4 linked regions of the Diceros bicornis minor genome follow. The main gene of each other region encodes a partner of the protein of the gene in region 4 in a complex. Links are inferred from orthologs where the notes say so. Each region holds a gene or a part of one and is shown on either strand. Other genes may lie near its edges.

Evidence for each region.
Region 1: the proteins of MYBL2 (region 4) and LIN9 are in contact, whole or in part, in a crystal structure (PDB 6C48), measured with the Homo sapiens proteins. The link is inferred for Diceros bicornis minor from reciprocal best matches to the Homo sapiens genes MYBL2 and LIN9. Residues at the interface, in NP_002457.1 of Homo sapiens: Trp663, Ala667, Cys668, Gly669, Gln674, Met677, Gln678, Ala681, Arg682, Leu684, Leu685, Arg687; in NP_001353174.1 of Homo sapiens: Lys356, Gln385, Arg386, Tyr388, Ala389, Thr390, Val392, Leu393, Leu395, Glu396, Asn399, Leu402, Asn403, Leu406.
Region 2: MYBL2 (region 4) and LIN54 share a complex: the UniProt entries of both Homo sapiens proteins name them as parts of the DREAM complex. The link is inferred for Diceros bicornis minor from reciprocal best matches to the Homo sapiens genes MYBL2 and LIN54.
Region 3: MYBL2 (region 4) and E2F4 share a complex: the UniProt entries of both Homo sapiens proteins name them as parts of the DREAM complex. The link is inferred for Diceros bicornis minor from reciprocal best matches to the Homo sapiens genes MYBL2 and E2F4.

Annotation. Positions count from the first base shown.
Region 1 is NC_080777.1:7,694,979-7,702,581, reverse strand, and holds the start of LIN9 (protein lin-9 homolog), read right to left. Parts: upstream 3,162-7,603; 5' UTR 3,106-3,161; coding exon 3,027-3,105; intron 1-3,026. UniProt on the Homo sapiens protein: Acts as a tumor suppressor. Inhibits DNA synthesis. Its ability to inhibit oncogenic transformation is mediated through its association with RB1. Plays a role in the expression of genes required for the G1/S transition.
Region 2 is NC_080747.1:67,680,903-67,688,224, forward strand, and holds the start of LIN54 (protein lin-54 homolog), read right to left. Parts: upstream 3,173-7,322; 5' UTR 3,104-3,172; intron 136-3,103; 5' UTR 115-135; coding exon 1-114. Other genes in the region: COPS4 (COP9 signalosome complex subunit 4), read left to right, coding at 3,396-3,469. UniProt on the Homo sapiens protein: Component of the DREAM complex, a multiprotein complex that can both act as a transcription activator or repressor depending on the context. In G0 phase, the complex binds to more than 800 promoters and is required for repression of E2F target genes.
Region 3 is NC_080771.1:19,074,988-19,082,698, reverse strand, and holds the start of E2F4 (transcription factor E2F4), read right to left. Parts: upstream 3,257-7,711; 5' UTR 3,228-3,256; coding exon 3,093-3,227; intron 2,659-3,092; coding exon 2,549-2,658; intron 2,408-2,548; coding exon 2,246-2,407; intron 1,925-2,245; coding exon 1,881-1,924; intron 1,161-1,880; coding exon 1,099-1,160; intron 886-1,098; coding exon 588-885; intron 104-587; coding exon 1-103. Other genes in the region: EXOC3L1 (exocyst complex component 3-like protein), read left to right, coding at 5,293-5,338, 5,545-6,021, 6,837-7,446, 7,526-7,652. UniProt on the Homo sapiens protein: Transcription activator that binds DNA cooperatively with DP proteins through the E2 recognition site, 5'-TTTC[CG]CGC-3' found in the promoter region of a number of genes whose products are involved in cell cycle regulation or in DNA replication.
Region 4 is NC_080758.1:17,298,806-17,306,597, forward strand, and holds the start of MYBL2 (myb-related protein B), read right to left. Parts: upstream 3,165-7,792; 5' UTR 2,984-3,164; coding exon 2,964-2,983; intron 1-2,963. UniProt on the Homo sapiens protein: Transcription factor involved in the regulation of cell survival, proliferation, and differentiation. Transactivates the expression of the CLU gene.

The sequences.
Region 1 (7,603 bases), on a different chromosome or scaffold from region 4:
ATTAACAAATGCAAGGCTGCATTGTGTCGGCTGCCACTGAGAAGTTAGAGAGTGGTACGAACAGATTTAACAAGAGGATGTCATCGTTATCAAGGAGGACAGAACATGGCTCTCTGAAGAAGCTTAAAATGGGATCTAAAGGATAAGCGGAAGTTAACTGGCAGTGAGAGGAAGGAAGAGCCCTCCAGGCAGCGAGAACAGCATGTGCAAAGGCCCTGCAACAAAGAAAGCCTGCTAAGTGCAGGGAATGAAAAAGGTCAAGTTTAGCTCAAAGGGACAGAACGAGAGGAAGAGTGGTACAAAATGGAGCTGGAGTGGGGGAGTGGCCAGGCCACAAAGGGTCTTGTAGCTACTGAAGTGTTTTAAGCAGCAAGATGACACACACACATTCTGAGAGGATCACTCCGGCTATGTGTAGGTTGGAGGGGGGGCGGTAGGCGAGGGGTGGTGGGTCAATGGGAGGCTGAAGTGCAGAAGAGATGGTGACAGCTTGGGCCAGGGTGATGGTGAGAAGTAGGCAGAGCTGAGAGACATTCAGAAGGTAAAAGTGACAAGATTTAGTAAAGGCTTAAATACGGGAAGTGAAAAACAGGGAAGTGCTGAAGATAACTTCTAGGTCTCAGCTGAATGCAGTGGAGCCATTCATTAAGACGGGGCCCCCTGGGAGTGTCTCTGTCCTGGGCTGGGATTATGAGGTAGATCTTGAACCCAGGAAGTTTGAGGGGCCTCTGAGGTGCCTAGAGGAGATGTGAAATAGGCAAGAGATATCAGGTACAGGAGCTCTGAGGAAAGACCTGGGCTGAAGACAGCCTCAGTGTCCTCATATATAAAATCAAACTAACACGACGACTTTCCTCAATTGAAATGAGGATTAAACAAGCAAATGTATGTAAGACGCTTTGCATAGCATCTGGTTCATAGTAAGTACTCAATAAACGGTACCTTTTATTATTGATAATGTTATACTGGCTATTGGCTAATTTATTAGCTAGCCCCCTTGACTAAAACTGGCAAAGAAACATACAGCTATTTCCAATATCAAATTGAAATCACTTTCCCTTTTCAGGACTCTGCTCCAGTTTCATTCATAATGCCTCTTACCCTACGTGCAATTTCATATAATCAAGCATTTCCGTATACCTGATTTGTGGCACTGTGTGACAAACCAGGTAAGGCGATCCCTTCTTTCTATGAGCTGTGGTCAAGGTCAACGAGACACACAGCACACAAACACGCACGCCCACACCCCCCCAACCTACCAGAGATGTCACAAAGCAATATCAATGATTGTTATATAGTTTGCGAGTGGAGCTGGAATTAGAACCCTAGGATGAGCCCCAAGTCTCTACAAAGAACCATAGTAAGTCCTCAATTAACGCTTAATGATGATGAGCCGATATTCTAAATGACAGTTATAAGAAAGCCACTTAAAACACCTCTCATTTCACCAGAGTGACTACGGTAACCAAAATAACAGCTCTAGTGGCTGTGACTTTTACGAGGTGACAACACATCTTCATGATAAAGAGAGTGAGCCTTTTCGGATGACAAGCACCTTGTGCTTAGTAAGTAGGCCCACCCTCATCTAGGAGCATCTTAAACCAGTCAACTGTATTCTCCAAACAAGAAACAAGAAAACTCACGCATGGTCTACAGTTGTGGCCTGTCTCATACAGTAGCCACCAGCCACACGTGACTATTTAAATTAACAAAAATTACGTGATCTTTATGATTTGGGTCCTCAGCCACTCTGGCCTCACCGGAAGAGTTCCACAGCGCGTGTGGCTAGGGGCTACCCTACTGGACACTGCAAAATAGAACATTCCCGTCCCTGAGAAAGTTCCATTGGAATTTAGCGTTGGTCTAGAGCAAATCTGAAACATAAACTCTTTCAATCCAACTTTTGACCAGCTGGAACTTTTAGTGCAACTTTATAACACATTAAAAGTCTATGACCCCACAGAGGAAACGGAATCGGCTGTCTCTGGCTCTCATTTTGAGCGTCTATCTGCCTCTGGCGCAGACAGATTTCACAGCCATTGGGCCTTTTTTTTTTTATCCTCAAACTCTCACACATAGCACGCATCCATAAACTGAAGAGCGAGTGTGGATCAGGACCCTTCTGTCATTAACTAGGAGATCCGCCTTTTTGCACACCTTACACAATCTTGTAAATGACAACAGTAAGTTCTCTTGTGCCGAGACTACGACCTCCGTGCTTTTACTGACAACACCAGTGAGCACACCTGTGCGAGACGGCAGGGTGAGTGACAGGAGGGTGTCAGGGAGGGGACAGTACGCGCGTGCTGCGAGGGTCACACCCGGCTATCAAGGCGCCCCCGCGATGCTGAGGACGCGCCCGCACAGAAGGGGGGTCTGCGGGCTGGGGGCCCCCTCGACACTGTGCCCCCCGTCTGGATTCTCTCCGGGAAGGTCCACGGCCACCTGTGGTCCCAGGGGAAGGGGCCAGCCCTCTGACACGGAAACACTTCCCGGGCTGGACACGCCGGAGGAGGGGGAGGACGTGCAGATCGCAGGAGCCTGCGGAGGCAGGAACCGACAGGACGACACCGGAGGCCGGAGGCCGGGGCCGAAGCAGGCGCTGGCCCCCGGCCCGGCCCGGCCTCCCCCGGCCCGGCGGGTTACATAAGCCCGCCGGGCGCCCCGCGCGCCGGGCGAGCGGGCAGGCGGGCGCACGGCCCCCGCGGCCGGGGCCGCTCCTCCCCACCTCGCCGGGCCCCGAGTCGGGCCCGGGAGCGGCCCCCGCCTCCGCGCGGCCGGGCCCGGGCCCCCGGGCTTTCGGTTTCCGGCCCTGGCGCTCCCACAACCCCAGAAACCAGCACACCGACACCATAACAAAGGCGGCGACGCGGCGGCAACCGCGGGGTGCGAGGACCGGGGGGCCCCGGCGGCGCTGGCAGTCGGCCCGCCCGCTCGGCGGAGGGCACGGCCGCCCGTCCCGGCCGCGGCAGCCCGGGGGCAGGCGGCCGGCGGGGAGAGGGGGGGTGCTGGGAGCCGCTACTCACTCTCGTCAGGCAACTGGTCGAGCTCCGCCATCTTGAACGAGCCGCGCCGCTTTTTCAAAGGCTGCCCGCCGCGGTGCATTGTGGGGCGGAGACTGTCTTTGCGAGGGAGGTTCGAATGCGGAGCTCGGCGCTCCCGCCGCGGCGCTGCCGGCTGAGGCGGGCCCGGCCCCGCCCGTCCGCCCGCCCGGGGGAGGGGGCCGCGCCGCGCCCCTCCGCCCCCGGCCGGCCCGGCCCGAGCGAGGCCCGTCTCGCGCCGCCCCTGCCCGGCCCGGCGCCGGAGCGCGGGGGTGCAGCGCGGGCTCCCGAGTCCGGCCGGCCCCCTCCCGGCGCGCGCTGGGCGGCCCGCGCTGCAGCTGCGGGCGCTGCAGGCCGTCTGTTCCGCGCGGGGAGAGGGCGGGACGGCGGGAGGCGGCACCGGTGGGCCCGGCGCGGGGGGGAAGCCCTGGCTTCGTGGTCACGTTACCCGGGGGGGCTCTGCTTCCAGGCAATTTCTCACGGTTCCCAAACCCACGTTTCCCCGGCGAGCCCCTCCCCTCCGTGCGCTGAGAGCTGGCGGAGGGAGCGGGGAGCAGGGTCGGGCCGCCGCCGCTCCGTCCACCACTCGGGGTTCCCCAGCCGGGGACCCCCTCCCGAGTGTCGGAACCGGGGCTGCGTGGAGCCTGGGAGGGGGGCCGTGAGAGGTCGCGGAGTTAGTCGTTTAGGTCGGCAGCTGAACTGTTGGGCTCAGCTCTTCCGTCCCTTCGACACTTCGACCAGGTAGCGAGCTGGGAGAGAATTGCAGACCCAGTGCCTGGAGGATACAGACAAAAATCGACGGTGACTCGACAAGAGGGTCAAGTACCGCCGTCGAAATGTTACGAGAACGCTAGATGAGAATTCATCCCGTTTTGAAAGAAGCCTGGGGAAAGATGTCACAATTCCTGTCTGTAACGCTGTCCGGTAATAAACCACTGTTGCTTTTCAATAATGTATTTAACAAATGTTACTGAGCTCCAATCCTTGCTCTCCAGGAATTTATGAGGGGTCGGGAGATGGGATAGTTAGGCAATGACAATACAACATGGGTGAATTCCAGGAGCTGAAAAGTTGAAAGGTGGTAGACGCAGATGAGGACAGAGCAGTACACAGAGGCCAGCCCAGGCTAACGGAGTTGGACTTGCTAAGAGCGTGGGAGAATGGAGAAGTTGGGTTTTACATAATGCGGATGGCATGTTTCCCTTTGTTGTAGAACAAAAATGTGGGAAACGGATTGGAGTGTGACAAGAGGAGAATCCTGGAAATTAGGAGAAAGCTTGTTGGGGCAGGCAGGCAAAGGCGAGGAGAGAGGTGTCTGCACTAGCCACCCTAGAGGTTCAGAGGGTGGGCTCTGGTGCCCCAAGGCCTGGTTAGGATTCTGGCTGCTGGTTGTATCATCTCAGGCAAGTTGATTTGTTTTTTCTTTTTTTTATGAGGAAGATGAGCCCTGAGCTAACATCCATCACCAATCCTCCTCGTTTTGCTGAGGAAGATTGGCCCTGGGCTAACATCGGTGCCCATCTTCCTCCATTTTGTATGGGACACTGCTACAGCATGGCCTGACAAGCAGTGCGTCCTGCATACCCGGGATGGGACCCCAGGGCAGCTGAAGCGGAGCATGCCCACTTAACTGCTGCGCCACCAGGCCGGCCCCTCAGGCAAGTTGATTTCTTAACTTAATTCTCTGTGACTTGGTCTCTCATGTCATTGGTGATGCCAACTTTGTGCCTTGGATAATTGGGTGCTGCCACTTTTGAAGTAGGCGGGGGAGGAGGGTGTAGGCAAAGTAATCTTACAAAGTAATTCTTCCTTCACTGATCTACCTTCTGAGAAGACGAAAAACAACTGATCTGTTGTCGACACCTGCGGGGTAGGTCACTATCAATTTGGAGATGAGTTCAAGGAAAGGTCAACCTTTGAGAATGAAAGGATAGAAATAAACAACCAAGTTAGGGTAGGTAGGTAGGTTAGGGGAGTGGGAGAAGTTGACACTTTGTGACTGTAACCCGTGGTCAGTGTATCATGAGACCCACGGGAGCCAAGTTTTATCCTAAGGCAGTTTTCACACACTCACAACAGCAGGTCTGCTGTTTAAATAAGTGTTTTTAGGCCCTTCCTCTGATAATCTGAATTTTGAACAAAAACCCTAAATGTGTCTTACACTCTGAAGCCGAAAGCTATATCCCAGCCCCAGATCTACCACTTATTAGCTGTGTGACTGTGAACAAGGCCTTTCACTATTATTTGCAGTGAGGTTCCTTGCTGAATATTTATGACACAGGTTTTATATTCATTGGTTTACTTGATTCTCCCAACAACCTGATAACTTGTTCAAGGGCAACATTGACCAGGTGATAGAATCGGGAATCTGGGCCACTCTCAGTGCCTCAGTTTCCCCCTCTGTGATGTGAGGATAACATCTATCAGAGGACTGGTAAATTTTAAATTGTGCATTTCAATTTAAAATGACGTGATTTATAAGAGTCATTGTCTGCTTTAAAAAAAAAACTAACAAAATTTGGACAAGGATGTTAACTCATGAAGAATCTAGATAAAATACACCATAAGAAAATCAAACATTGCCACATTTTGTGCATATCAGGTTTGATCATTTCCAGTCCCATTGCCCATTTATCAGATATTGAGTTATTTCTGTGCAAACTTGCATGCTTCAAAGGACACTATCAAGAAGGTAAAAAGACAACCCTCAGAATGGGAGAAAATATTTGCAAATCGTATATTTGATAAGGGACTTATATCCAAAATATATAAAGAAGTCTTGAGGGCCCTCCCTGTGGCGTATTGGTTGAGTCTGGAGCACTCCGCTTTGGTGGCCCAGGGTTCACGGGTTCGGATTCCAGGTGTGGACCTACACCACTCGTCAGCCATGCTGTGGTGGCGACCCACATACAAAATAGAGAAAGATTGGCACAGATGTTAGCTCAGGGCTGATCTTCCTCAAGTGAAAAGAAGAGGAGGATTGGCAACAGATGTTAGCTCAGAGTGACTCTTCCTCAGCAAAAAAAAAAAAGTCTTACAACTTGATAATAAAAAGATAACCCAATTCAAAAATGGGCAAAGGATACCAAAAAGATATAATAAACCAATAAGCGTGTGAAAAGATGCTCAACGTCATTAGTCATTAGGGAGATGCAAATCAAAACCACAATGAGACACCACTTCACACTCACTGGGGTGGCTATAATAAAAAAGAGAGATAGTAACAAATGTTGGCAAAGTTGTGGAGAAATTGGAACCCTTGTTCATGGCTGGTGGGAATGTAAAATGGTACAGCTGCTGTGGTGGTTCCTCAAAAAATGAAACATAGAATCACTGTATGATCTAGTGATTCCACTTCTGGGTGTATACCCAAAAGAATTGAAAGCAGAGTCTTGAAGAATATTTGTACACCCGGGTTCATAGCAGCAGCGTTCACAGTAGTCAAGAGGTGGAAGCAACCCAAGTGTCCAACGATGGATGAATAAACAAAGTGTGGTATACACATACGATGGAATATTAGCCTTAAAAAGGAAGGAAATTCTCACATATGCTACAACAGGGATGAACTTTGAAGACAATCTACTAAATAAAATAAAATCACAAAAAGACAAATATTGTATGATTCTACTTATATGAGGTGTCTGGAGTAGTCAAATTCATAGAGACAGAAGGTAGAATGGTGGTTGCCAGGGGCTGTGGGAGGAAGGAACGGAGAGTTACTGTTTAGTGGGTACACAGTTTCAGTTTGTATAGATGAAAAAGTTCTGGAGATGAATGGTGGTCATGGTTGCACAGCAATGTGATTGTACATAATGCATAGACTAAAATCCAGAACAAATGGTATACAACGGTGGCTATCCCTGTGTGGTGGGATTATGGGTGATTTTTATTTTCTTTGTATTTATCATTTTTCTGTAGTAAAGTTTTTATTACTTTTATAAAAAAGGTATATCCATATAATGGAATATTATTCAGCCATAAAAAGAAATGAAGTATTGATACATGCTACAACATAGATGAACCTTGAAAACATTACGCTAAGTGAAAGAAGCCAGTCACAGAAGACCACATATTGTATGATTCCATTTATATGAATTGTCCAGAATAGGCAAATCCACAAAGACAGAAAGTGGTTGCCCAGAGGGGGGGCGGGGGGGCAGGAATTGGGAGTAACTGCTAAAGGGTACAAGGGTTTCTTTGTGGACTGATGAAAATGTTCTAAAATTGATTGACTGTAGTGACGGCTGCACAACTCTGTTTATATACTAAAAACCACTGAATTGTACGTTTATTTTATTTATTTATTTTTTTGGTGAGGAAGATTAGCCCTGAGCTAACATCTGTGCCCATCTTCCTCTATTTTATGTGGGATGCTGCCACAACATGGCTTCATGAGCCATGCATAGGTCTGCACCTGGGGTCCAGGCCTGCGAATCCCTGGGCAGCCGAAGCAGAGCCTGAGAATTTAACCTCCATGCCACCAGGCCAGCCCCTGAAGTGTACATTTTAAATAGGTGAATTGTATGATGTACGAATTATATCTCAATAAAGCTGTTACAAGA
Region 2 (7,322 bases), on a different chromosome or scaffold from region 4:
CTCAAACCCCAGGGTCAGCGAGAAAATCATCGAGCTCCATGGGCTCTGTTGTGTGTACTGCACCAGTTTGCTCACCAGCCTCAGAGTCGTTGGGGGTCTTCTCTGGATCTCCATAGGGGCCACCAAAATGTTGGCCTTAAACAAATAGATAGCTAGTTATTTCTCCAGCAAAAATGGGTTTATTTGGGATCAGCAAACAATTGCAATTTGAAGTCTGCAACCATGGCAAGCCACGTGCAAGTCCCCACCAGCAAGGGAGGAGAAACTCTTTTATAGAGGGGAAGGGGAAGTTGGGAAAGCTATTGTAAACAAAGAGTTTGAGGTGTAGTGGGTCTTCACTGGCTGAGTTTTGACGGACTCTCATTGCTGAGCTTCTGGCTAGTCAAGAAGAGGCAGTCTGGGCTGGCCCCGTGGCTTAGTGGTTAAGTGTGCGCGCTCCACTACTGGCGGCCCGGGTTCGGATCCCAGGCGCGCACCGACGCACTGCTTCTCCGGCCATGCTGAGGCCGTGGCCCACATACAGCAACTAGAAGGATGTGCAACTATGACATACAACTATCTAGTGGGGGGCTTTGGGGGAAAAAAAAAGGAGGAGGATTGGCAATGGATGTTAGCTCAGAGCCGGTCTTCCTCAGCAAAAAAAGAGGAGGATTAGCACGGATGTTAGCTCAGGGCTGATCTTTCTCACAAAAAAAAAAGAAGAGGCAGTCTTTCTTCTTCTTTTGGGTTCTGCTATCTGGGTAAGGCATGAGAGCTTCCCCTTGTGGCCTCCCAACTCCATTTTAATGAGGTTTTTGTTTATTAATGTTCACACTGCTATAAGTAAAACCTAAAAATATGTAGTAGTCTCTTCGAAGTTGGGCAGGAGTAATGAGCAGTCTGGAAAGGGGAGGCCTTGTCATGTCAAAAAATTCAGTAAAATTGCGGCCTACAATAACTAGGATGGCAGACAACCTCCCTTCCTAGCTTGTAGCTCTAGTGGAGATATTTAGAAAGAGCCAGTTTGTGTGTGTGGCTGCTTCTTTTTTGCTTTCAGCAAGGTATTACAAGTAAAGTTTGAAGTCAGGGTAAAAAGGGAATAGAATGTTCCAGAAATTCTGGGGCTTCACTAAGTTGAAAAAGCCAACTGTTTATTACCCCTAAATAGCAGAAGAAAAGACTTAGCTTAGAGAATTCTCATAGCCCATTAAGACTTTTTGGCAAATGCACATAAACAGAAAACAAAGATAAGCTGAAGCAAAAATCAAATGAATAGAGTTCTCTTCTCATTTAAACCTATTGTTTTAGATGATTTCAAAGCTTCCATCACTAAAAGGAGGATGTTAAGAATGGACTGAGTATGGAAGCCGGAAAATAGGGCAAGTTTAATAACTACTAGAAAGAACTTTGGGTGTGGTTACTGGCACCAGAAACTGTCTGGAAGCAGCAGAGGTTACTGAATACTCAATGAAATTATATATATATTGAAAAACCTGGCCTACAAAAGCCCTCAATTGCTCAAGTCCTGAGGCATTTCCCCAAAGAGGGAATACTCTTCAACATCCAGTTAACTTGTATGCAGAGGGCAAAGCTTGGGCCCACAAAATACAACGGACAATGGAGATCCTCTCAGAGAGCAGAACTAGGGTCTAACCAAGGAACTTACTCCACTACGAGGATAGTGAGTATTCATAATTCCTGCCCAGGATTCCACCATTGCTATAGACCAGTAACTGCTGTATGTTTCCCATTTTTATTTTTTCTGAGTTTTACCTGGGGTTATCCTACTCCTGCTCCACTCTTGTTTTGTATTACACGTATGGGTATGGAGCAGATAATTTGTTTTGTAGTGTATATGTCTCTGCACCATAAAAAACCATATCCTAACCTGATGGAGAGGATTGTGCCTTATCAGACATCCTGGAATTTGAGCTAATATAGAAACTAAATGGGAAACTGAATTCTCTTTCTTAGAGGGTGCGAGCGTTCTACTGTAAGAAGGAAACACAGATATTTAGGTGGTCAGAGGGACAGATTGTAGTAGAGAGTGTTGACTGTTCCTCTAAAACCATCCTTTCCTTTTTCCTGGGCACAAGACTGCCAACTGGAAACTAAATTTCCAGTCTCACTGTTGCTAGCCATGGTCATGTGACTAAGCTCTTGCCAATAGAGTGAGATCTGAATTGATGTGGGCACTCCACATTACTTTCTTAAAAGGACTTCCTTATTCTGGGCTTCTTTCCTCTTCTCAATAGAGGGAACATGCTAATTATGACATATCAAGCTGGTAAAATTAGAACGTTTGACGTTCTTTGTAGGCAAGGCTGTAGAAAATTGCACTCCTACATATCGCTGGTAGGAAGGCAAAAAAGTACCATCCCTATAAAGTGCAATTTGGCAGTATCTATCAAAATTGTAAGCACATCTACCCTTTGACTCTCTTCTTGGAATGTATTCTACCTGTACACATATAAAATGATGGATGTACAAGGTTATTCATTGTAGCATTGACTAAAAACTATTTAAGTGTCTAGTTTAAGGATTAAATAAGCTACGCATCCCCTCATTATGTAATACTCTCCAGTTCTAAAAAAGAATGAGGAAGCTTTGCAGACTTATGGTAAGATCTTAGGAAAAGTGAAAAAATCAAGGGCAGACTAATGATATGGTGTGCTATCTTTTGTGAAAGCAAGAAAGGATAAAAATGTACTTTTATTTGCTTATATTTGCAGAAAGAAATTCTATACGGATATATGAATAATGAACATAATTACATATAAACGTAGGGTGACCATATACTTTTTCATCCAAATCAAAGTGTTTCTAGAGTGGAAGGGCGTGTTATTAATAATTACCCCAGGACAACAGATGGAAAATGCCACTGTCCTGGACAAACTGGGATATATGATCAACTTATACAAAAGGTACAGAGTGGGAGGGGGAATGGGGTCATTTTTTACCGTATTTTACAAAAGTGTCGGTCTTTGGTGAATTGGAAAAAAAACAGCTCCTTCTTTACCACAGGTAGTTTAAGGACTGCCTTAAAGAACGAGGATCGGTAAACTATAGACGTGACACACGGAACTTAATGAAAACGCGATAGTTTTGCATACCCGACACTTACCGGAGTTGCACAAGCGACACACTCCCTTGAAGTTCATCCTCCAATCCGAAGTGGGAGCGTGAGAGCCCCAGCCTGTGGGAGAGACCTGCTTGGGCCTCGGACTCGAGGAGTGGAGCTTCGCGTCACTCAACCCTGGGGGCGGACCCAGCGCAGGCTCCCACCGCGGCGCTCTGGCCCACAGAAACGCTACTCTGTGGCATCTCGAGTTCCCTCTGGCTGCACTCTGGAGGACTACACTCGTTTTCTTTCTGGCAGTGGGAGGCCCTGCAACCTCGGCTGAGCTGGAGGAAAGATGGCGGCAGCCGTGCGACAGGATTTGGCCCAGCTCATGAATTCGAGCGGCTCTCATAAAGATCTGGCGGGCAAGTGAGTACTTCTCAGGGGCATGGGAGGTGGGGAGGGAAACCACAGACTTGTTCTCCTGGGGTTGATGGCGGCTTTCGCATGTGAGGCTAGGCGCTGGCCTGACGACCAAGGGGGCGGGCCTGAGGTCGGTTATGGAGGCAAATGTTGGGATCAGCAGAAGGCTGAAGGGGACCTTGTGCAGGGATCCCTCGGGGCCCTAGACCTAGGGTGACTGTCAGCTCGTTCAGTCCTTGAGAGCATCCTTACCGGTCTCGTAAAATTCTGGAAGCGCGGTCTGAGGGACGACTGCTCCCACGGCCTTCTCAGCCTTCTCTGGTGCCTCTTCCCATCGCTCTCTGGCCTCTCACACCGAATTCTCGCCTCTCTTTGGACTTTTTTTTTTTCCTTTTTGATTGAGGGAAATTTATATTCTGGGCCTTGATGCAGAGTTTTGCGGGGAGATGGCTTTTTGAGGCTGGTGGGGGCTGAGGAGGTATGGCCGCTATCATGTCCAGAACCCCTCGGACCGTCTTCTGTGGGTCATTGTTTTGGGTACTCTCTCTCCGCCACCAGCTCTGAAAAAGGGCACATAGGCAGAATGTCTTCATAACGTGGGTCAGGATGTCTAGAGTAGTAATGTTTGCAGGAATCTGGATTGTTTAGGAATTTTGTCGGAATTTGTGTAGAAGGCTTAGGTCCACTCCAAGTTAAAATTTGTGACATGTCCCTCTCCTGCAAGCAGTTATTCAGCAGTGTTAATCATAGGTATTGTCCGTTTTTTCTTTGTAGATTTCACTATACTGTTCTTTTGTAATGAACGTGCATTCTGTTTAAAGTATGCTTCTCAAATTGATCCTAATATTTACATCCTGACAGCTGAGATCACTTTGATCTGTATTGATGGGATACACCTGCTCTAACCGGGCTGTTGGAACCTTGACTGTGCTTTATGTAGGCTGTGCTGCCTTTTCTGTGGTGGTGAATGTAATCTACTTTTATCAGTGGGAAATTTAGCTGTGTATCTTAGGCTTAACTATTTTGTGCTGCAATTTCTCCCTCAGGAAAATGGGGATAATTATAGGACTTATTCTTGTCTGAGAACGAAATGAGTATGTGTGTGCGTATACACTTGTGTTATATCACTTAGAACAGTACCCAACACTTAGAAAGTGTCACAAAATTGTTGTTATTATTACCCAGCTAGTAAATATATATTGACTTATTCCATGGGTTGGAAATAAGTTGAATATGTCTTCATGGCTTAATCTTCTTTGCATGTAATTTTTATAGAATGGATGAAAGTAAAACTAGCTTATATTTTCCCGCATGCTTGCTTGCTTTTTTGTTTGTTGAAGAAAAATAAGTGCGTTAGTTATCAGAAGAGATATAGTTTTTCAAGTATTTGCAGAATTCTGAAACTTAAGCTAAGCATTTACTTCAACTCTGAATTGCAGATAAACAGTAGTACCTATCTTATAGAGTGCTTCAGTTATTTATTGTTGTGTAACAAACCAAAAACTTAGTGTAAAACAACTGTTATTTCTCAGGATTCTTTGGGCTCTTTTGCTGGTCTAGTCTGGCCTCCCTCATGCAGGTGCAGTCAGCTGGCAGCTCAGCTGGGGCTGGTAGGGTAAAATAGACGCAGATGCACATCCGGCTGTTGGCTGGGTCTCACACTCTCTCCACGTGGTCTGTCATTCAGTAGTTTAGCTGAGGCTTCCTTACAGGGCCATAGGAGTGTTCCTGGAGGGTAAGAGTGAGAGCTGAAGGTCTGTTAAGGCCAGCCTTGGAAGTCTTGCAACATCAGTTCCCTGATACTGGTCAAAGTAAGTCACAAGCCCAGCCCAGATTCAAGGGGAGGGGAAATGGAGTCTACCTCTATGGGAGCAGTGGCCAAGTTATGTTGCAGAAGGGCGTGGTCAGAGGGAGGCATGATTCATTGGAGTCCGTTACTGTCACAATCTACTCCATGGGGTTATTGAGAATGTTAAATGAAATAATGTGCTTGATAACTGATAGCCAGTGTTTTGTGAGAAAAGTCTTGGCCTTGCCTGGTCCTATCTGGGCAAGAATGTGTCAGGGTATTTCTTTTCGTAACAAAACAGTTCTGCCAGCTAGTGCTTTATGAGAGAAACACTCTTGAAATATATCAGTAGTTTTAGGGTTTATGTTAGGAGCTGAGTAACAGGATTCTATATTAAGGAATCATGGAGAAAATTCTTTTCTAAAATATTGATACTCTGTGTTCCCTGCAGTTAGCAGGATATCTATAACAGAGTAGTTATTCAACAAATGTTGGTTAAATCAATGAATAGCTAGAAATGTGCAGAGCTTATATTTGAACACAGGTTTGTCTACTCTAAAAAGCTCATTTTTAACCTTACCAGCCTATACTGCTGCTGTTGCCAAAACTTCAATTAGAAATGCTTTCCTATAACTATGAATTAACACAACAGTCTAAAATCGAAATAAGAAATTGGCCATATGAGAAGCATATTTGCAGATTTTATAAACTGCTTTTGTACCTATTATGCATTGTGTTCATCATCTCATATAACGCTTTAGAAGAGGAGAGTCTTGAGAGGGAGCATTTGAGTAGATAGATAGCTGTTGTGATAGCCTGTCTTATTGAATTAGCTAAAACCTACTTGGTTCTTCGAAACTCAGTTCAGATGTTATTTCTTCCAAAAAGCCTTCTCGGAACAACCACCAGTACACACTCGTGCTCACCCCACACGGGACCTGGGTGGTTGCTCTTCCTGTGCCTACTGGCATCCTATATTTCCCTCTACTATAGCGCTCAACTGTTTTCTTTACTTGTCTGCTTCTCCAACTAGAATGTGATCTCTTTGAGGGCAGGTATGAGGTCATGGATTATAGGTCTTTGTTGAGTTAATCCTACAGAAATAGGACCTTTTTTTTCTTTTCTTTTTTTCCCGGTTCTGGGGTATGGAGGATCCCCAGAGGAGCATAGTGGGCCTTTGGAGTATAAACGTTTCATTTTACAGGAAGCTGTTAGCCTGGAGAAAGGAAAGTAATGGGAGACCTTTTAGCTGCCTTTGACTATTAGAAAAGCTGTTTTTCAGACAAGAAAATAGACTACTCTGCCTTATAGACGTAGACTTTGGATTAGAACTTTGTAATAATAGAGTGGAGTAGAACTGTCAAAAAATAGAGGATACACACACACACACACAACCAACCAACCAACGGAGGATATACTGTATAACTTCATAGGCCCCTTCTAACTCAGATTCTCTGGTTCTCTGTTGTTATTCCCACACACAACAGTTTTAGGGGTTTTCATCTCAAGAGTGAAGTTCCCTAACATCTAGTGTTCACTGTGCGCCAAGCACAACTTTACCTACATTTTTTAATCCTTAACAAGTAATATTGTTTACGTTATATATGAAAAAACTGAGGTATAGAGGTGAAATACCTTGCTCCAAGGTCACATAGCTAGTGGCAGAGACAGAATACAGCCTGTCAGCTTGGCTCATAGCCCTTAACTCTAATCGACCTTTTGGCCTTTTTCACCAAACTGGACTACATTTCAGATAGTGATTTTTTGCTTAGAGTGCCTGCCTTTCCCTAGTCTTTGCCACTTCACACTGAGTTGAAGTATTTAGAATGCTTCAAGATCGACCTCATTAGTAAATTATTTCTTTCTCCTAAAAACTATATTAGCAGCTACCTGTTTTTAAGATTTTGTCTTTAATTTTCTGCAGCTTCGTTATCATGTATCTATGTGAATTTTTTACTTTTCTATGTCGGTTAGCTTTTGCTGTGAAATAAACCACCCCAAAACTTAGTGGCTTAAAACAGCAATCATTTATTTAGCTTACAGTTCTGTTGGTTGGCAGTCTGGGCTGGG
Region 3 (7,711 bases), on a different chromosome or scaffold from region 4:
AGGGCAGAGGACTGCAGCGGCCGGGTGTCCAGTGCTGTCGGGCCCAGCGGGAGTGAGCTGAGCTCACCACTGTCCTTGCTATCGGTTCCAGGGCCACCACTCACTGCAACCACATCCCCCGAACCCAGTCACTTGAGGGCAGGAAGTGGGATATTGAAGCTGGGCATCCTAGAACCCACAGCCAGGATGACTACATTCCTGGTTCCCAGGCCCAAGGCACTGCCAGCCACCTCTGAAGAAGTAACCTGGAAATGAGTCACTGAAGGAGACAGGGGCATGAGGCCTGCAGGAGAGAGACTCATGGACCACTTGGCTGCTGTGACCACATTTCAAGAGGGGCTGCCAGGGCAAGTGAGACACAGGTGGATCCGGGGGAAAACTGCCACCACTAAGGCCCTTTCACACAGTCAGAGATTCTCTGTTAAAAAGGGCTCATCGGATGCCATAGGGGAAGCCAGTTAGGGGCCAGGAAAGGGACAACCCCCCCAGGGTCTTTTCCAACTCTGAGTATGGCATTCCACAACACAGAAGTATTGCCTCTTGGGCCCCAGAGATCACCCTATAACCAGCTGCCCGTCGTGCCTCACCTGTGATCTCAGCAGCTGGACTGGCCACCCCTGGGGCTTCCATGCTGCCGGGGACAGGATTAGGGGTGGTCACCTGGGGACTGCTTGGGCGTGAGGCATCCTGGGGCTGGGCCAGGGCAGGCTTGGGCAGAGGCGAAGGGGTAGAGACAGCAGGTGGGCTCTGGAGCAGATCTTCGGGTGGTGGCACAGGCACTGCCACGGGTGGTGAGCTCCATGCCTCCTTGTTCACCAGCAGCACCTCAATGGGGCCACTCACACTCTTCAGGTGAATCTGGTACTTCTTCTGCCCATTGAGGCCCTGGAGGTGGGGGACAGGTGGAAATGGAAGCAGGCTTGGCTCCTGCCTGACCTGGGGCCAGGGCCACAGTATCCTCTCCCACCCCAGGCTGCCCGTCCTCCTAGATAACCCCAAACCCCAGGCACCCCCCTACCTGCCCCACCCGGGACTTATCGGGTTCCACAGCCAGCACCCGCCCTCAATCAACCCCGCCTGCCTGGGCTGAGCACCCACCTCTGGGATGGGCACCTCCAGGCTGGTGCCTGATGGGGCCCGGATGGCCAGGAGGGTGTCTCCTAGAATGACAAGGAGAATAGGTCAGGGCCTATGGGCTCAATCTGAGCTGGGAATGGGGGTGCCTATCCCTTGGAACAAGGATCATGGTCTCTGAGGGGGTGGACAGTAGGCCTTACCCATACTCCACAGTGGCTGAAGCAGAGAACTAAACCTTTTCTCCTCCCAAGAGCCCAGGGATCAGTAACCAGTAAATCTAGTTTCAAACATGAGGCAAACACTAGTTTCAAAGATCGCTGGCCTTGGGCATCTCACTTCTCAATTGATGGGGCTGCTGCTCCCTAGGTGTAGGTGTTCAGGCCAAGGCCAACATCCCTTCCCCAGGACCAATCTGGGGGATGCAAGATGGAGAAGGAACAGTTCCTGTATTCACAATGCAACTAACTACAGGTTGGAAATGGGCACCTTTGCCCCCTGCATACAAGCACGCACACACACTCTCCCCCTTATGCCTGTCACGCCTGAGAAGCCATACTCGGGGACAGTGCAGATGGTGGCTGACCTGGGATCCAGCCCAGGATTCTTGTACCCTCTCAGTATGGTTGGCCTCCACAGGGTCCCAGTGACCCTCAAACCCAGGACTTACCCTGCCTGGTTCCTCTTTGGCAGGCCCCAGGAGCCCTCTTAAGAGACAGAACTCTCCTTGGGCACTGAGGCCACTGCTCAGAGCTGTGGCTCAGCCCATGCCCTCCCCCATCTCCCCCTACCCAGGCTCTGCTCACCAGCAAAGCATCTGCAGATGTCCTCGTGAGTCACGTAGGCCAAGGTGTGGGGGTTAAGGAGAATGGCTGATGCCCTGCCTATGGTGACAGATGGCAGACACAGAGAAGACCCAGCTCTTTAGCAAAGGTCTGACATACAAGCCCTCAAAGAAAGTCCTGGCCCTTGGGGTCTACATGGGGAGGGATCACAGGCCAAGACGGGTAAGGGAGGGGCTCCGAGGAGGCAGCCCCAGGCTGGGAGCTGGCCAGGAGCTGCAGGACCATCCTCCCAAGAGTAATAGGGCCTAGGGTACCAGAAAGCAAACCCAGCTGGACTAGAGGGCCCCTCGCCCACTCCCTGGGAGCAGGGACTGCCAGGAGGATATCAGCTGTTCTGCACGTCCTCTGTGACGTTCCGGATGCTCTGCTGCACCCACACCTTGTGCTGGTCCAGTTCTTGCTCCCGCTGCTGCAGCTCCTCGATCTCTGCCTTGAGCTCAATCAGCTTGTCCGCAATCTCTCGGGTATTGCAGCCAGGCCCCACGCCTCTGAGCCCAGGGAACGGGGCTGAGAGGGGCTGCCAGGAACTCTGGGTCCCATGGCCCCTACTCTCTCCTGTACCCTCCACCCCACACCCCTGACACTTCCGGGTAGGAGATCCCATCGCCCTCCCAGGTGTCCCCACTCACTTCCACTGGATGCTATTCTTGGATTTTTTCTCGATCAATCCGATCCCTTCCAGCACGTTGGTAATGTCGTAAATCCGCCGCTTCTGGCGCACAGCTAGGGTGTCAGCTGCCTGGCAGACAAAACGGAGTGGAGGACGCTGAGCCGCACTCTCAGGTGTACTCCCAGCTACCTTGAGACTTGGTCTGGAGTGGTCAGGAAAGAGGGTGGCCTGGGCCCCAACCCTCCTCCCAGGCACTACAGCAGCTCAGGACCGCGGCGCGGGAAGTGGCCTGGCACAGCCTAAACTGATGTTCTGATGCTGTTCTCCCCACAGCAGCCGGGGAGGGCCACGAGGACCAGCACCTGCAGCCCCGAGCCTGACACAGCTGACGCCCAATAACCTCGGCCGAATGAATGAAACAGCTCCCGGCCTCCCTCCTGTGAGAAAGCACACAGATGGCGGCCTACTCTCTGGGGCTCAGCGGGGCCGCCCCGGGGGGTTCCCGCTACCAGCCACAGGCCTGGTCCACCATCCTCCCTGTCGCCCCTTAGTCCGGGCCGCACCAGCTTGAGGTCAAGCACGCCGTCCTTGGCCTCCTGCAGAAGCGACACGAACTTGGTGGTGAGAAGTCCCAAGCTCTTCTCATGCCGGCTTGGGGTACCCGGAGGCGGCGGCGCCTGTGGCCCGGCCTCCGCCATCGCGCCTGCCCGCCGCCTCCCCTCAGCCAGGCCAGGCCAGGCCGGCGCCCCCGCCACTTCCGCTTCCGTTCCTGGCCACCCGGCCGCCAGCGCCAGCGTCGCTGATTCCGCTTCCGCCCCGCGCCCTCCCAGGGAACCCGGCGCAATTCCTCTCTGCCGTCAGGGCCGAAAACTTCGGGGACCATCAGCAAATGTCCAACCGCCAAAGAGGACGAAAACAACCGACGCGCCCGGGAAACAGGATATGGTGCCGAGGGAGGAAGTCGGTGGGCAGCCCTGGCAGTAGAGAAGGGGGAGCCACTGGAAACTTACTGGCTGGCCAACTTGCCCCAACTCCACTAACTCTGCCCCATCCCCCATCTTGGGAGAGGAGACCATGCTGCCTGATGAACCCAATGTGTTTCTCCAAACCTGCTCCTAGAGGCTGCCCCGCCTTCTTGGGGCACCCTATTCCTGTCTCTCATTTCCTGCCAACAGCAAGCACTAACTACATCTAGCTTATCCACTTGTCTCCATCCCCACCCCCCTTCCCTGTCCCAGCCTCATCTTTCTCTTGTCTCCATAATTCAGTGCTGAGAAGCCATGGAATTATAACTACTTTTCAGCCAATGCAAACATGTTTACCTATATGTAAATATATATAAAGCACTTAGAGCAGTTCCTGGTGTGGAAGGATTATGTGTTTGCTAGTATCATTTTGTTATTTTTAACATTGTAATTATTTATTATTGTTTATTTTAGGTCAGGTTCTTTGGGAAACAGACTTTGAGACAGGGATTTGGCTGCAGAAAGTTTATTGAGGATCCACACTTGTAAGGGAGTAAGACAAACAGAATTGGGCAGAGAGGGGAATTAAACTGTGATGCAGTTATAATAGAGGGCTCAGCTCATCCTACTAGGAGCTCTGAAACTGGGGTGGCCCTTCCAAGGCATTCCACGTTCAGGCAAGGGTAATGGGCCTTTGTGCCCTAACATTGACCAGGACACTCAGCTGTGAGACCTCAGCAGCCTACACTCCTGGCGGCTAGGGGAACTAGTGTCTTTGTCCTGAGGATGGATTTGGGTGTGCACCAGAGTCCACTGCATTATGACTACCTTTTAGTCCCTTCCATGGCCCCCTTTAACTCTCAAGATAAACACAGCTTTCATAGCCCTTCCACCCTCTCCTGCCATCACCCACCACACACCTTCTTCACAACAGCCTGCGGTCTCTCCTCTACAGAGGCACACACCCTCCTCTGAGGGGTCCTTCCACATGGTTTTCATTCTGTGATGTTGTTGTCTGCATCCATATTGGCACACCCCACTCTCCACCCCAGGTTGGGGCCATCGAGTTCATGTCCATGTCCCGAGCATGAAGAGATCCTGGGTAGGCTGGTCAAGACTCAATGATCACAGGGCGTACACCCCCCTCCCCCCAAGGAAGTGGTGCCCAGCCCTCCCCGCCCCATCTCACAGTGCAGATGTTCTTTCCTGTTGGGAATAAAGCACCAGAGACTCAGCTTCCTTCCTTTCTGCATGTGGCCTTGGGGAGGGAGGGGCCTTGGAAGGAGGAGGGGGCTCCTGGGCAGGGAGGTGGGACAGAGGCTTCCTTGGGGAGAAGAATTCTGCTGCATGCCGAGGTGTGGGCCACAGCCACCCAGGCCTCGTGAGCCAGTGGAGGGAGTGTCCAGCTCTGCTGTGAGGGCCGGGGGAGAGGGCCATCCTCAAGGCCAAGGCTGTTTGCGGAGGAGAGAGAACTGGTCAAGCCTGGTGAGTTCCAAACCAAGCTGTCCTCTTTAACGCAGAGCAGGAACGGGGTCCAGCAGAGGCCTGTGCCTACCCTGCCTCACTTGGCACCTGCTGGGGCAAAACTGAGAAACCCAGCAGGCAAGGGCTTCTCAGGTGCTTCCCCATCACACCCACCTCCCTCTCATTTCCTGAGGGGGCTGGGCAAGGACCTCTCTCCTCCTTCTCAGAGGGGCCTAGAGGGAGGCTGCAGCTCAAAGGAGGATCTACTCTGCCTGCTCTAACCCAGACCCTCACCCCCATTCCTACCTCAGCTCCGGCTCCTCCAGGGCCTGCCATGGACTCAGCAGCCAAGGACGAAATGCAGCCGGCTCTTCCCCCTGGTATGAACCCTCTGGGTGGGCTGAGGGAGGGACGGTGGCAAGAAAGATGGGAATGGTGGGATTGGGTCCTCCCTGCCAGGTCTGGCTGGAGCTCTATAGGGCAGTGAGAGGAGTGACTGCCCTGGGGGACAGGCTGAGGAGTAGGAAGGGGAGCAGGTTCGGCGGCCACTTCCTGCAGGCCCTGCCCAACTGACGTGGCTGCCCAGGCTCTTCCTGCCCAGGGCCTGAGTGGCCGGAGCAGGAGAGGGCGGAGCGGCTGGCCCGAGGCGCAGCACTCAAGTGGGCTTCGGGCATCTTCTACCGGCCGGAGCAGCTGGCCAGGCTGGGCCAATATCGCAGCCGTGAGGTGCAGCGTACCTGCTCCCTGGAAGCACGCATCAAGGTGGGCAGCAGGCAGGGGGCAGGAGTGCTGGGGGTGGGCTGCAGGGCTGGCCAGACATCACTGGCTGCCTCTCTCTCACAGTCGGTGGTGCAGTCATACCTGGAGGGCGTGAAGACTGGGGTGTGGCAGCTGGCTCGGGCCCTTGAGGCCGTGCAGGGAGTCCATGAGGCCCTGGGCCAGGCCCGCGGGTTGCTCCGGGGCATGGCAGAGGCAACACAGACCCTAGAGCCGCTGCGAGAGCGGGTTGCCCAGCACAAGCAACTGCAGGCCCTGTCTCAGCTGCTGCCCCGGCTGCAGGCAGGTGAGTGTGCAGGGGCACTGGGCCTCAGCCTTCCAACACTTAGTCAACAAATGCCCATCACTAATCAAGGGGCGGGGGCACTAGTGAGAGACTGCATGGAGGGACACACCACAGACCTCCCAGAGAGTAACTTAGGCTTCAAATGGCATATGAAGCAGGGTGCAAGTCAGCTCATTCTGGGGTTCCCAAGCATGGGATGTCTGAGTCAGGACTGACACCCAGTCAAGCAGCTCTGGACACCCTCATTGTTAATATGTTGAAATATCCCTAAAAGAGTGGGTGAATAGCCACTAGCATGGTCCCCCAGTTCCTCCCTGTCTTCCCTCCAGGATCCCTGACTTCCTCACGTTCCATCAGCTCAAGGGTTTACACCAGGCCCACCAGGCTGCTAGGACCTTCCCTGGCTCCTTTCAGATTGGCCAATGCTCTACTGTACCAGTTATTAAATATTTTATTTATTTATTTATTTATTTTTTGTGAGGAAGATCAGCCCTGAGCTAACATCCATGCCAATCCTCCTCTTTTTGCTGAGGAAGACCGGCCCTGAGCTAACATCCGTGCTTGTCTTCCTCCACTTTATATGGGACATCGCCACAGCATGGCCTGACAAGTGGTGCATCGGTGCGCGCCCGGGATCCGAACCTGGGCCGCCAGCAGCGGAGTGCGTGCACTTAACCGCTACACCACGGGGCCGGCCCCGGTTATTAAATATTTTAGACATCACCGCAGCCCCAGGGCCTCAGCATCTGCTGCTGTACCCATTACACAGGTGAGAAGGCTGAGACCCAGTGCTGTCTTCTTTCCTCCATCCTTAGTGCCGGCTGCAGTGGCCCACACACAGACCCTGATCAGTGCCCAGCGGCTCTTGGAGGCATATGTGAGCCTTCGGGAGCTGGAGCAGCTGCGAGAGGAGACCTGGGCACCTCTCGGGGGCCTGGAACTGCCAGTCTTCGAGGGGCTGGGCCATCTAGCTGAGGCATTGGGCCAGGCTGTGGAGGCAGCTGCAGGGGCTGCGGGGCAGCTGGCACGGGAGGACCCAGCCCTGCTAGTGGCTGCTGTGCGCGTGGCAGAGGTGGATGCTGGGCATACAACCTCCCTGGAACAGGCTCCTCGGGACTGGCGGCAGCGCTGTCTGCAGGCACTACAGGAAGGCCTGGAGCGGATCCACTTTGGAACACTGTTGCCTGGGCCTGGGGCCCTAGAAGGGTGGCTGGAAGCTCTGCGGGTGGCTCTACCAGCCGAGTTGGCCACAGCTGAGGCACTAGTAGCACCCTGCTGCCCACCACACTACAAGGTGGTCCAGCTCTGGGCCCACACCCTGCACAGCGGCCTGCGCCACTGCCTGCAGCAACTCCTGGAAGGGCCTGAGCTGGGAGCTGCTGATGCCTTCACCTTGCTGCATTGGGCACTGCATGTGTACCTGGGGTCAGTGCCCTTGGGGCAATGGGAAGTGGGTGGGTCAGAGGCTGGGGGTTCAGCATGACACTGGGCTATCCATCTCTAGGCCAGAAATGATGGGGAGCTTGGAGTGCCTGGAGTTGGGGCCTGAGGCTGACGTGTCTCAGCTGGAACCCCTCCTGACCGCAGAGAACATAGAACATCTAGAGGCAACATTTGTGGCCAAAGTCCAGGTGAGTAGTTGGGGCCAGGTCCAAAGAAGCTTTGCCACCAGCTGTGGGCCTGTATCTGT
Region 4 (7,792 bases):
TAACAAAACTTTTTAAACTTGCATATTTTGAGGATTAGAGCTAACCATGTGTGTGATCATCAAGCACAAGGATTTTAAGAAATATTATTTTAAATACGTTATCTCAGTAACTATGCCCGTTTTTGCATACCCCCTTCTCAATCCTTCTCTACACACAGACAGTTTATGGAGTAGAAGCAGCTTTGAATTCTCGATGTTTTTAATTTTCTAATAGGCAATTTTCCAAGTTGCTCCAAAATCCTCATATTTATTAGGTTTAAATGGTTACAAAAATGGAGATCATGGGGCCGGCCTGGTGGCGTAGTGGTTAAGTTCCTGTGCTCCACTTCAGCAGCTGGGGTTTCACAGGTAGGATCCCGGGCACGGACCTACACACCACTCATCAAGTCATGCTGTGGCCGCATCCCACATACAAAATAGAGGAAGATGAGCACAGATGTTAGCTCAGGGACAATCTTCCTCAAGTAAAAAAAAAAAAAAAAAAATGGAGATCATACTATCCATCTTCAGGGATGTCAGGTGCTGAGGGAAGGTTAGTAACCTCCCAACTCCACGTGGTGGGGCCTGCATCAGGTCACCTGTCAGGTACGTTCCTAAGGCAGGTATTTCTAAGTGGGAAAAGCCTACACATCTCCAAGCAAGCAAGGCAAGCACAAGCCGTGTGCCAAAAGAAGGAAGAGGGCTTCCTTTTGTGTCCACACTCCTTTCCCCTTCTCCAGATCTCAGCACCTTCCTGGAGTCACTCCCGTGTTCCCACAGCACCTTGGAAATCCTCCTGTCTCAGAATGTAGACCCTTAGGCTGCAACTGCCTATCTCCTTGACATCTTCAATAGAGGTCAGCTCCACCTCCACTGGGCCAGGATGGGAGGTGGCACCAAAAAGGCCTTAAGATATGTTTGCTCAGGGAATGACCAGATACACGAATAAATGAATGAATGAACATGCAAAGCTGCTGCTTGTTAGTTGAAAAGAAATACTAATTAAAGTAAATTTTTTAGAAGTAGGAAAGGAAAGTATGGTGTCTAAACCCAGCAACACATCAGTCACAGAAGGAGCTGGAACGCAGCCTTGCCCTGTCATTCCCGAGCCCATACATGGGGTCCTCCACCATCACAAAGTAGGAGGCAAGACATCTACAAGACACTAATAACAGAATGAAGTGGGTTTTAAAATTAACTGCCCCCAGACTCCTTTCTGACAGAAACGATATTTGGTTCTCCAGCACCCAGCTTCTAATCGAAGCTCAGCAAATGTTCTTTCAAGGATGAAAAGGTATCCGTGTGTACACTCTCTGGTGCTCCAATCCTCTATTTAATGGGGAAGCAACTCAGCTGAGAGAATTCTGTGAGATAATACACTTCCGTCAGCAACATGGTGCTGACCAACCACTTCATAGGCACTTTCATTATCCCCATTTAACAGATGAGGAAACTGAGGCTCAGGGGTTATGCCACTTATCAAGTCCACAGAGCCAGGCTCCAAACCTGCACCTTCAAGTCTTCACCAAGTAATCACAGCTGAAAAAGCAGAGGCCAAGTCAGTGGTGGCAACCACGTGTAGGTCCAACACACCCTTTCTATGCCCTTCAATGTGCTGGGCTCTGCTCCAGGCGGGGTGAGTCAGAAGCTGAGCGGGAAGTGGGGCACTGGTGCAGAGGAGAGCTACAGCAAGTGGCCAAGAATCGAGCTGAGGGCTGTGGGGTGCCAGGTGCAGAACCTATCCCCCACCTGGGAGGGGGTTCCTCCACTGAGCCCCAGGGGAGAAGTGGCAGAGGACCTGGGGGTTGTCTGGGGCTTTGTCATTTCCTGGAGTAAAACTTCCTGAATCAAAAGTCACAACAGGGTCTGACAAGTGCCTAACCAGAAAACTCCTGGGACTCCGAGCAGCCCTGGGAAATCGTGACCTGAGGAAGACAGACCCTGTGCCAGGTACCCTGACCACTGCCCAGGGATCAGATGTCTCCTCGCTGAGAGGAACTCTGGGGAAAGCCAGCAATGAGTGCTTCTCGGGTCTACATCCTCAGCCTGAGAAGGCAAACACCATCTCAAGACGGGTGTAGGGTTGTCTGGGCTGCATGAATCCAGGCAGGGGTCAAGACAGGACCCCCTTTGTCCTCCCTGACTCCCAGACTGGCTGAAAAGCCCAGAACTCAGGTCCCAGGCGCACAGGTGTAAGACTGGGACCCGGAGCCCACAGACCTGGTTCCAGGTTCGACTCTGCCACTTATTCTCTGGGGGAATAGGTAAAATGGAGACCACAGTTCCTGCCGTGGCCCCAGGGGCTGCTGGCACAGAGTGGTCTTGATACACATCAGTTTCTCTTCCCCTCACCTTCAACCCCAGCTGCCCCAAACTCCTCACGTGGAACAGGAAGACAGGTCTCTGAAACTAAACCGAGCTGGGGCCCGGAAGCCAGGTGGTGGGGGACAAAAGGGCCCCCTCCCCCACAGCACCCTTCTCAGGGCAGGGGAGAGGACTTGGGGTGTTCTGTGCTTCCCCAAACGTTGAGAATCGCCAAATCTGAACCAAAATAGGTTTGAACGACAAGTGTCTTTCAGGCTTTGGCCTCCTGCTCACTGCGACTTGGAGCATCAGTTTCCCTCTCCAGGGGTCGCCTCCCTCCCCGGTAAAGGCCCTTCTAGCTGACACCGCCATTCCACCCCCACCCCGCAATTAGGCGGGAGACAAAATGACATCATGCAGGGCTTGGCCCGGGTCCCAGGAGACCCGCCCGCCCCGGCTCCGAGGCCCAGCAGGCCCGGGGAGCAGAGCGAGGGGTCCCCAAGAGGCCCCCGTCTTCGCGAGCGCCCCCTGCCTCAGGCGACCCAGGGCTCAGCATTTCCCGCAGAACTCGTCCCCCCGGCCCCGCTCGGAGGGACCATGGGGGGGGGGGCAGGAATCGGGGTGGAGGGGGATGGAGTCTGCGGAGGGGGAGGGGCCCTCAGCCGCCCGGCCCCGCTCACCCGCGCGTCCGCCGAGACATCCCCCCGGCCCGGGCCGCGCCGCGCTCGCCCGCCTGCCGGCTGAGCCCGGAGCGGGAGCCGGGCCGGGGTCAGGGCGCGCGCTGCTCCGGCCGCTCCGGGCCCCGGGGCCGCGCTGGGAGGCGTCAGCGTGTCCGCAGGTCCCGCCGCCTCTCGCAGGAGCTGCAGCCGCCGCCGGCGCGCACAGAAGCACTTTTCTATCTCCCGCCAAGCGCGTCGGCGCCGCCCGGGCCTGGCGCGCGGGCGGGCGGGCTGCGCGGGGCGGGGCCTGCGGGGCGGGGCGGGGCCTGCGGGCCGGCAGACGGGCGCCGCGCCGGCCCAGAGCCCTGAAGCCCGGGGCGGGGAGAGCCAGGGGTGCGACGGGGCACTGGGAGAGGCGGCTCTGAGCTGGCCACCGGGTGACTGAGGCCCGGCCCAGGCCCAGTGTGGATCCGGGGCGGCCCTGGAGTAGCCCCACACGGCAAAGGCTGAGGAAAGGGAGTGAGGGGCAAGGATGGGAGAGTCAGGCCGGGGAAACCGCCTGCGCAAAAACCTCAGCACTAGTCCAAGCCGCTCTTCGTCCCTACGGCCCCCACCCTAAAGCGGCCCCCTCACCCCTACGCCTCCCTGCTTCCTCTGCAGCCTCGAATTCAATGGCTCCACAGCCCCCACCCTAAAGCGGATCCCTCACCCCTACCGTCTCCCTGCTTCCTCTGCAGCGTGGAATTCAATGGCTCCCGCTCCTCAGGTCCACTCCTGGCAACCCGAAGGAGCCTTATAAAATGCAAACCTGAGCTTGCCTCTCCAGACTTAAAACTTCTCTCCTCTCCCTCAGGGTAAAAGACTCCATAATCAGGTTGATAGGATTCTGCCAGATCACCACCCCGCCCTTAGCCAAAGGAAACTGGCTAGCTTCTGTTGCCTTTGCTTGGGCCATTACCTGGGCCAGGAACACTTCCCGCCCATCCCTCCCAATTATCCCTGGGGTCCACTGCCCGCAATCTGCTTGTTGACTTGTGCGTTTCCGCCTTTGAACTATGGGCAGGCTGAGGTCCAAGTGGCCCCTCAATTCACTGCAGTATCCCCAGGGCCCAGAATTCAACAGCTGAGTTGAATTCAGTTTGCCACATACTTAAACTCCTAGAGACTTGGCAAAGATTTTCCATTCTTTTTTTTTTTTTTTTTGGTGAGGAAGATCAGCCCTCAGCTAACATCTGATGCCAATCCTCCTCTTTTTTGGTGAGGAAGACTGGCCCTGGGCTAACATCCGTGCCCATCTTCCTCCATATTTATATGGGAGGCCGCCACAGCAGGGCTTGACAAGCAGTATGTCGGTGTGCGCCTGGGTTCTGAACCTGCGAACCCTAGGCCGATGCAAGGGAGCGTGCACGCCTAACTGCTGCGTCACCGGGCAGCCCCGGATTCTCCATTCTAAGTTGCCATTTACCAAGCACCTCCGGAGTGTCATGCCACACCAGGCTCCCTGGGCGGAGTGCTGAGACAAGGTGAATGAACTATGAGACAGGAGCCTGGAGAGACCTGGCTGAACTCCAGCCTCTTAGGCCCTGCTTATGCCTTAGATCCCTCTTCCAGAAACTGCTGGCCACCTGGGACAGTCCAGCCAGCTGCTGCAAACTTCATTTACCACAGCAGAAGGAATACTGACATCTTAAGTGCTAGAAGCTTCCACATCAATTAATTCAGGGCTTCCCCCACCTACTTCTCTCATAAAGTAATTCATGTGGACATTCTGTCTTCATTGTCAGAGCATAATATTTAAGAGTGCAGGCTCTGAAGCCAGACTTCCTGGGGTTTTATGCCCAGCTCCATCATTTACTAGTTGTGTGATCTTAGGCAAATTCCTTAACTCCTCTGTTCCTCAGTTTCCTCATCTGTAAAAATGAGATTTATCAAAAACTTAGATAGCTTTCACTATATTCCAGCCACTGTTCTGTATGCTCTGTAAACTTTATTTCATTTAATTCTCATAACAACCCTATGACGTAGTATTAATATTATCCTCTTTTGGCAGATGGGGAAACAGACACAGGCCTCCCCCACAGGTCACACTGCTAGTACTGTCAATGGCAAAGCAAGGATTCAAACCTGGGCTGTCTAGTTCTAGAGTCTATGTTCTTAATCACTATACTGGTACCTACTTTGTAGAATGGTTGTGGGATTAAATAAATTAATATGTGTAAACCACTGAGAACAATCCCTGGCACATAATAAGTATGATATTACTTTTAGTTATTATTATTATTATTATTATTATGACTCTTCACCTGCCCTAATGCTTCTCCTTTGAGGTCCAGGAAGCTGCTTTGCACACAGCACACACTCTCACATGGATTATTTGTCCCATTTCAGGAGGGAGACAGGACCTGGCAGCTCCAGCAAGGCATTTGCCCAAGGCAAGAGGCAGGGAGCAGCTGGAGAGTCTCCCTGGAACCTGGAACTGGGGCCAGTTGAGCAATACACTAGAGTCTAAAAAGCCTGGAGTCAGTGCTCCGAGTCAAGGAGCAGGGAGATCACCCTGGTGCCAGATAGAATCTGGTAATCTCCACAAGTGTGTCTTCTCCAGTTATCATCATACCAACAGACAGCCCCTAGAGAGAGGATTCCAAGTGTCCTGGGTGCAGCCACAGGTGGGAGTGGTCCCTGGGCCCAGGACCGATAACATACAGACTGCACTCTACTGGGAAACTTCCTGGACATGCCCTCCTCAGACAGGGAGGCTCTAGTCCTCTGGTCATTCCATAATCTGCCCCACTCCAGGCTCCACACTCAGGGCAAGATAGGATCTGACTTGGGGAGACAGGATCAAATCTACTTATTAAATGCTCAGGGCCCAGCACTAGGCTGGACACAAAACAAACACTGATTGACGACAAGCAATTGACAACTAGGATCATGTGGCCCTTCTGCTTGGCGTCTTCCCCTCTACCTACTGAGCACCTTCCTTATCAACCTTGTCCTCCCACCATACTTCCCTCCACCCACAATTTTATTGTTCTCTCAAGAACAGGGACAGCCCCACATTCACAGTCTTAGCTTCATATCTTTACCATAATGTTTGGCTCCTTGTAGGTACTCACGGAAGAGGTTTTAAACATTTTTTAATTGAATGAATTAAATATTATAAAGCTAACATTTGGGCTGGAGTTAGGAAGGCACAGACTAGAACTGAAAGGACTTAGATTGCTCGAGTTTGAACTGTATCTTGTAAGATGTGAAACATCAAAAGGGATTTTTAAACAAAAGAATGTTTTTCAGACACTTCTGCCCCACTCCCAAGGGCATCAGTGTAGAGGACAGAGTCATGGCCACAGGCATGAGAGTCCAAGCACCACAACTGGACATGGGACACTGTCTACAACAGGGGGGATCCCAATGCAGGGAAAGCAATTCGGTTACCTGATTCAAGGAATCAGACCTCTACAGAGAAATTTCCCCACCCACTTCTCAAAAGATTGAGATTTTATGAATAACTCTTTGCAAAGGACCTATCTTTGAGTTCCAGAAAAGGATCAGCAAAGTATCCAGATCAGAAAATAATAATAGCTGGATTTTCCTGGGGAAGACACCATATGCCAGGCACCATACTAAGAGCTTCACATTCCTTTTGCATTTAATGCTCATCTGTATGTGAGGCAGGTACCAATAGGTTCCCCATTTGAAAGATAAGAAAACTGAGGCACCAAGATGTTAAGTTACCATGATCACACAGCCAGTGGACTGGTAGCTTGAAGCAAAGCACCCATAATTTAAAATGTAAATTTGGAGAGTACTGTTTGTGAAAATACGCTGAAATGATCGAAGCTGGGCTCAAGCCTGGGGCTAGTCATGAGATGATCCAACCATCCATACTCTCCAGAAGCTCCTCAGCTGATAGGGGAGACAATGAGTAAACAGAAAATCAGCTCAATACAGGTGAAGGTAAACTACAGGGGTTGTGGATGCCCAACCAGCGGGGTCACTAAATGTTCTTCAGAGCTGGGTGATTTAGGAATTTGCAAGGTGGCCAATGTGGGGAATGGCAGTTGAGGCAGAGGGAATAGCCAATGCATGTCAGGGAGAAGGAATATAAGAAGTACTCAGGGACTGGCCAGAGATGAAGAGGTCATTCTTGACTCTTCTCTCACATTACTTATCTGATCCATCTGCAAATCTTATTGGCTCTGCTCTCAAACTCTACCTTCAAAATATATCCAACGGCAAAAGCACATGAAAAGAAGCTCAATACCATGTCATTAGGAAAATGCAAAATAAAACCATGAGATTTACACACCTACTAGAAAGGCTAAAATTGAAAAGACTAATCATATCAAATGTTGGTGAAGATGAGGAGCAATCAGAATTCTCAAATACTCCTGGTGGAAATGCAAAATTGTACAACCACTTTGGAAACAGTTCAGCAGTTTCTTAAAAATTTAACATATATACCTACCATGTGACCCAAGCCATTCCAAGAAAAATGAATGCATATGTCCGCACAGAGAGTTTTACATAGCTTTATTTGTAATGGCCCAAACTGGAAACAACCCAAATGTCCATCAATAGGAGACTGGATAAAGAAATTATAGATATAAAACAAATATATCCATACAGTGGAATACTACTCAGCAATATAAAGGAATTATTGACACAATATGAATCTCAATCATGTTGAAAGAAGCCAGACAAAGAGTATATACTGTATGATTCCGTTTATACACAATCCTAGAAACTGGAAATCAATCTATAGCGGGAGAGCCAATCTAAAGTGACAATGGTTGTGAAAAACGGATTACAAAGAGACAAGAAACTTTTGGGGAGTGATGGTTATGTTC